Tribolium castaneum: one gene and its partner. The protein of the gene in region 1 purifies or fractionates together with the protein of each later gene. This does not show direct contact. Links are inferred from orthologs where the notes say so. Each region holds a gene or a part of one and is shown on either strand. Other genes may lie near its edges.

The links.
Region 2: the proteins of ras-related protein Rab-28-like (region 1) and PrBP purify together in Homo sapiens (affinity purification with mass spectrometry; 3 studies listed by BioGRID and IntAct, with this or other methods). This does not show direct contact. The link is inferred for Tribolium castaneum from reciprocal best matches to the Homo sapiens genes RAB28 and PDE6D.

Annotation. Positions count from the first base shown.
Region 1 is NC_087399.1:2,692,090-2,696,285, reverse strand, and holds the start of ras-related protein Rab-28-like, read left to right. Parts: upstream 1-1,374; 5' UTR 1,375-1,500; intron 1,501-1,521; exon of another isoform or gene 1,522-1,625; coding exon of another isoform or gene 1,626-1,726; intron 1,727-1,772; coding exon of another isoform or gene 1,773-1,980; intron 1,981-2,025; coding exon of another isoform or gene 2,026-2,157; exon of another isoform or gene 2,158-2,175; intron 2,176-2,315; 5' UTR 2,316-2,353; coding exon 2,354-2,428; intron 2,429-2,476; coding exon 2,477-2,662; intron 2,663-4,196. Other genes in the region: IT (oxytocin/vasopressin-like peptide precursor), read right to left, coding at 1,626-1,726, 1,773-1,980, 2,026-2,157; Septin4 (septin-2), read left to right, coding at 840-874, 927-991, 1,037-1,164, 1,212-1,374.
Region 2 is NC_087401.1:12,576,969-12,579,759, reverse strand, and holds PrBP (retinal rod rhodopsin-sensitive cGMP 3',5'-cyclic phosphodiesterase subunit delta), read right to left. Parts: upstream 1,431-2,791; 5' UTR 1,319-1,430; coding exon 1,272-1,318; intron 1,227-1,271; coding exon 1,043-1,226; intron 1,000-1,042; coding exon 863-999; intron 813-862; coding exon 731-812; 3' UTR 631-730; downstream 1-630. UniProt on the Homo sapiens protein: Promotes the release of prenylated target proteins from cellular membranes. Modulates the activity of prenylated or palmitoylated Ras family members by regulating their subcellular location.

The DNA of each region.
Region 1 (4,196 bases):
GTATACAGGTTTTACGGGAAATCAATTATTGAAAAGTCAAATTGTGGCGACTAATTTTTGAGTAATTTAGAATCAAATATTTTATTAAAATGTGTACCTTCTATAATCATAGCATAATTAAATGTGATAAAGCCTTATCTCACTTTTTATTTATTGTTTTTTAAGTTTCTTAGCCAGTGTAAAATTGGTGTTTACAACCTCCATGTATGAACAATTTTACAATGTTTAGATCTATCGAACGGGGTGCCGACTACGAAAGGCCCACTACAGTTTTGTTGAAAGTTTTTAATTTTCATATTAACATTGTATATAAATTTTATTGTAAAATATATTTTTTCTATTTATCACGGACTTTTTTTTTTAATCCTGTCGTAACCATTCATCGGCCTTGGCGCTATTTTTTTAAAAACATACCCAGATTAGCCAACGTAACAAAATTTCCATCAATTTGAAATCAACTTTATTATCATTATTAGTGGTTTCATAAACGCAAAATTGATTAGGGTCCATGCATACTATAAATAGGACGCCTAAACATGCCACAAAATTTTAACTAAGACCAAAAACTCAAAACCGGTTTGAGTTTGATTCGAGTGACGATTGGCAATTCTGTGCCACATTCCGCCAGATTTTGGCGCCTTTGCTTTCATAGTTTTTCATTTTCCTGTTAGTTTTCCGAGTGTTAGTGAGCACTGTACCTTCAAAATTAACACTCGGTGTAGCAAAAAGCGAAAATTATCACCCACATTTGCCTGGACTTGCCCTAACTTTCAATTCGCCAAACTTGAAAAAGCGAGGTTAAGTGTTACTGTGTGTTTTACATTTTTCAAAATTATACGATGGTTAAAAGCGAGACACGCGTCAATTTGCCTTGGTAAGCCCAATTCTTTACATTGTAACCACAATTAACTCGTTTTACGCAAAAGGGTCGAAAAATACCGCCCCAGCAGTCTGGACGACTTGGTGTCTCACGACGATATTATCAAGACAAGTAAGCACAACTAGTGCCCAAACCGTTGTTCATTATTTTTTTCAGTCGGTAAATTTATTAGGGAGGACCAGGTCCCCCACTTGTTGTTCTATGGCCCCCCTGGAACGGGCAAAACTAGCACTATTCTGGCTTGCGCCCGCCAGCTTTACACCCCGGCCCAGTTTTCCTCAATGGTAAATTTATTTACGAGAATTGAACGATTTTAAAATAATTTCTAAAGGTTTTGGAATTGAATGCCTCTGATGACCGGGGCATTGGTATTGTAAGGGGACAAATTCTCACGTTTGCGAGCACACGCACAATTTTCAAGTCAGGCTTCAAGCTGATTATTTTGGACGAAGCGGACGCAATGACCATGGACGCCCAAAACGCCCTCAGGAGAAGTAAGTAGGGTTAGGTTGTTAATGTTTGTATGGAAGTTGCTAATAGCACCTTACTACTTAATTACCATTTACCATTTACAAAGTGCAGTACAAGGTGCTAATCCATGAGTGATATGTGTACAAGGGGTAATTATAAAACATTCAACTACTGATACCGCTTTATTGACAATTGCTCAAAAGTTCTTCACACACTTAAATAACAAGACATTAATTTGTCATGACTTGCGAAATAAGCTTAATTATTGATTTTTTTATTTATCACCAGCCAACTCAGCTTGGTAATTAATGAGAGTGTACAAATCTATCGGACTTTTATCGTCACTGGCACAGCTTTTATCCGCATGGCAAGAGTCTGAAATATTATTACTATTATTTTGTATTAAAGTTAATAAAATTACCTTGACTGCAACAAATCCCGTCGAAAGCGCACCGCCCTGTGTTTTTCCTGCAGGGGGCGCTGCCGGCAATGCAGGGCTCGCGTTCGTGGAAAAAGCCCTCACGTTGGCAACGCAGCGTCTCGGGGGTTCCCACAAGACACCCGAAAGGTCCGCAGCAAATGCTGGGGCCGAAACATTGCCCGCTTTGGCCGGGACCGCAACTCACACACTGGCAAATTATTTTTTGTTTTATTTACCAAAAAAAAATTCTTACCGGTTTGACGGCGTTTTCACTTATGGCAAACTTGCTCCGTTTGCCGCCGCGAGGACAGTTGGTAATGAGACATCCTGAAACTAAAGATTCGCTCAAAACGAGTAAAATGATCGAAGTGATGATTGTGGACATTGTGGCGGTTTGTGGTGCAGTGGTTGGTTGTGTTGGGGCTTCGCTTTTATATTGTGCTTGTGGATGTGTTTTTGTGTGCACTGCGAATTTTAAAAAGCACTCAAGAGATTTTGTTTTGTTATGGTGATTGGTGGCTTCTAATATGCGTTTCTTATAAGGTGATTTTTGTGAAATGCATTGGTAATAAGGTGCGAGTATGTCGGATTCGGAGGAGGAAAGTGTCGGGAGACAATTGAAAATTGTTGTTGTGGGGGAGCCCAGTGTTGGAAAGGTTTGTCCAGTTTTTATGAGTTAGCTTATTTTTTGGAATTAATTGTAGACAAGCATAATTAGGAGATTCTGTTATGATGATTTTACAAGACAGTATAATCAAACGGTTGGTGCGGATTTTTATATTCGGCGAATTTCGCTACCAGGTCGTCAGGAAATCACTGTGAGGATCACTGATGTTGGTGGTAATGAATTTAGAGGACATATGCTAGGAAATTATCTATTCAATTCAAATGTACGTAGTATTTTTTCTATCGAAATTGTAAATAAAAAGGAGAGTTTGCTAAAAGTATATCAACTGTTGAATAATTTTTGAAGTGTTTTTTAGTTAAATTGAGTAGTAATATTATTTTTTATCTTCGTAACTTTTGCTGTCCCGTCCGTTATTGCAAACATATAAAGCCGGTTCGCTATTGTTTCTAGTAATTTCTAGTGAGAAATTTGTCAGAACAGACAAATATAGGTTAGAAACTCGAAAGTTTTTAAAATCTGTTAATTATTCACTTAAATTAAATCTGTGAAGTTATGAAACTGGTCCAAAAACAGGGTATTAAGACTAATAATTTGTTTTAATAAAAATTTGAATTTCGCGTGGAGGGAGAAAAGTTTCCCATGGTATTGCGTTAAAATTTTTCGAACTTGGAATTTTGAGCACTGGTAGGTGAAAAACGTTTAGCAGGAGTTAGATAAAGAACAAGTATGGTAGGTAGAAAAAGGAAAAATGGAAAATTACCGAGAAAACATTTTTTACTGTTATCTTCAATGTTCTTTTTAAAACGCCTCGGCAAAGTTGCTCGATTTTTGCGTGGCATTTTATAATTGCTTGTTTTACATCAACATTTAGTATTGCTCGTTTCTTTATAGACTTTTAGCTGCTTATTTTTAAAATTTCAGTTTGAAATTACAATTTTCCTTTCTGCGCTTGTGCCAAGTGTCAAATTTTGACAATAATGAATTAGTACTGCCAATCGGTATACTAAAAAAACTAGGCATGGCGTACCAACCTAACAACTTCACAGCTGGTTGTTATCCATGTGAAAATACAGTATGTTGTTCTTATTTCTTACGTCGTTAAACAAGGCCAAGAAATTTTAATTTCTACTGTCTAATTTTGATATTGTTGAAGTCTTTAATAATTAAACCGGTCTGAATAAATTTTTCAGGTATTTTGACACACAAAATTTTTTTGTTCCATCCGTTATGTGTAAACGAAAAATAAAATCAAAAGTTTCAACAAGTTCCACCTTTTATTAATGCCTTTTAAATTGTCAGAATTTTATAAAGACTGTTTTTAAACAGTAAAATGTGAAGTCATTTTATGTCCCGTCCGTAATAACTTTGTTTTTTTTTTCTTGATCATGTTTCAACTTTCTCTAATCGTAGGTTGCAAACAGTTTGATTGGTGTTAAGTTCTTTTAAAGGAAAATTTATTTCCACTGATACTGTGTTCATAAAAACTGAAAATAAAATCTAATAATTTGTGCAAAGTGCCTCGTTTTTCACGAAATACTTTATCTCTACATGGATGTTAATTTTTCCAGAATTCTCCTACGATACCTTATGATTGAAATTAATTAATTAATAAACCCCTATTTTGGCTGAAAATATTACTTAAGCATCATAAAATTTTGCTTAATTAATATTTTTATTTACGTAATTTTATTTACAAAAAATTGTAGTTCTTGAAATGTAATAAAAATATTTTAGCGAACTCTCCCTGTATTAGGCAATCGTTTGTTCATTCATTGAGTTAGTTTTTTTTATTGACT
Region 2 (2,791 bases), on another chromosome or scaffold:
ATCTTGATGCATTTTTTTATGATAATAAATTCTTATTCAACTATCACAATGAAAATGCTATCGCAAAAGCTAATAGAGTTCTTGTCTGTATTAAGAAATATGAGAAAGATATTATAGTGTTTTACAAACGTTCTGTAAAAAATGTATTAACTGTTAAATCTTGTAAATATAAATGTTTAGTACCGAAAATAAAATAAATAAAAAACAAAAAGATAAAGCCAATTATCATTAACTGTCAGTATTTTTTTATTTTTATTACTAGATTTATTTTTTTAATTTCTAATTTCATTTTTTTTCTAATTACAAGTAAGATAAGACATTCAACATAAATGTCGGTTATTTAAAAAAATTAAGACTGACAAATGTCAGTATGATTACAAAATGTAGCAATAAAAAACCATTTTTTAATGAGTAATAAATGAATTTTTGTGTCTGTATACGAGCATATTTCATTATTTTTATGTTCGTAACTTGTTAGACGGCTAAAACAGCATACTGAGTGACGTCACGCTTGCAGCGCTCTACATTACCGATACTGTTACCGGACAATCTCCCATTATACAGAGTATATAAAATTATATACTCTGTGTTCCCATTATTGCTGGTGTTAGGGTTTGCGAAATAAAACAATTTTTATTATTGAAAAATTTAATAAAGTAAATGCACACATTGTTATTATCACACACAAAGGTAACAAAACGCAACAGTGGCCCCGTTGGTGTCTTTTGATTCAAACGTAGAATAAACGCACTCTCGATGTGGAAATTAGCAAGTCGTCGTCATAGAATTTCGTTTCAATGACAACATTGCCGCTGGAAATGAAATTATTGATTAAACTCGATTGATTTGCGGCAATTTATACTTGAGGACGGACGCGGGCATCATTTCAGACTCAGGTGCTGCCTCCATGATCGATTGCCATGTATTTGTCGATTCTGGCATAACAAAACCAAATTCGAAGTACCACTCTTCAAGACACCGTCCCTTAAACAATACTTTCTGCACACAAGCCAATAAAACACCGCTATTTTGCACATGTTACCTGCTCCAGACGAAATTTTTCGATTTGTTCTTTGGAACTAAAATTAAACTCTCGAGATACTGCACGACATTTGAGGATGTTTTTAGGTACGTGAGCTTCATGTTCCACGTCCGGAAAGCTCAAGTCCTCGCAACCTTGCCAGAAAACGGTCCCACCGTCGGCGTCACGCAAACAAACCCAATTCCTACGCGATTTTTCAAATTTGCCCCCAAAAAAAAACGATACTCACACTTGAAAACCCTTAAGTATCTCTTCGGCGCGAGTGCTCTCGGACATTCTCCCGAAGAAGGCAAGGGGCGAATTCGTTGTTTGGATGCGATTTTGAGGCAAACATAGAAACTAACCTCAAAAAAGCAAAGTTTTGACAGCTGACAGTGATGACACGATCAGCGCGTCCTCTACTTTTTCGAATTTTTCCGTAACTATTATTAATTCAATTTGAAAAAAGTGCTAAATTAATGATAATAATGTTTTTTTTATTTTACGCATTACTAAAGATTAGAATATGAAACGACATACAAAAAAACTGGGCAATGAATTAAAGAAGAAAAAAAAACACAGTCGAATGCCCTATCGAAGAGCATAATATCCTGCAAAAATAAAAAAAAATGAAGGATATAAAAAGGGTAAAAAAAATAAAGTTTGCAAAATCGGGAAATCTTAAAGAATCTTTAAAAATTCATTAAGGTCCCAATGGGTGTTTGTCCGAACATGATTTTTTCACAGTCAAAGGCCCTATCAAAGGGCTTAATCTCCTGCAAAAATAAAAAAATTGAAGGATATAAAGAGAGTGAAAAAAATAAAGTTTGCGAAATCGGAAAATCTTAAAGAATTTTCAAAAATTCATAAAGGTCCCAAGGAGTATTTGTCCGAACATGATTTTTTCACAGTCGAAGGCTCTATCAAAGGGCTTAATCTCCTGCAAAAATAAAAAATATTGAAGGGTACAAAGGGGGTGAAAAAAAATTAAGTTTGCGAAATCGGGAAATCATAAAAAAAAAATAAAAATTCATTAAAGTCCCAAGGGGTGTTTGTCCGAAAATGATTTGTTTTACAGTCAAAAGCCATATCAAAGGGCTTACTCTCCTGCAAAAATAAGAAAAATTGAAGGATATAAAGAGGGTGAAAAAAATAAAGTTTGAGAAATCGGAAAATCTTAAAGAATCTTTAAAAATTCATTAAAGTCCCAAAGGGTGATTGTCGGAACATGATTTTTTTACAGTCGAAGGCTCTATCAAAGGGCTTAATCTCCTGCAAAAATAAAAAATATTGAAGGGTATAAAGAAAGTGAAAAAAATTAAGTTTGCGAAATCGGGAAATCATAAAAAAATTTAAAAATTCATTAAAGTCCCAAGGGGTGTTTGTCCGAAAATGATTTGTTTTACAGTCGAAAGCCATATCAAAGGGCTTACTCTTCTGCAAAAATAAGAAAAATTTAAGGATATAAAGAGAGTGAAAAAAATAAAGTTTGAGAAATCGGGAAATCTTAAAGAATTTTAAAAAATTCATTAAGGTCCCAAGGGATGTTTGTCGGAAAATGATTTTTTTACAGTCGAAGGCCCTATCAAAGGGCTTAATCTCCTGCACAAATAAAAAAAATTGAAGGATATGTAAAGGATGAAAAAAATAAACTTTGCGAAATCGAGAAATCTTAAAGAATCTTTAAAAATTCATGAAGATCCCAAGGGGTGTTTGCTCAAACATGATTTTTTTACAATGAAAGGCCCTACCAAAGGGCTTAATCTTATG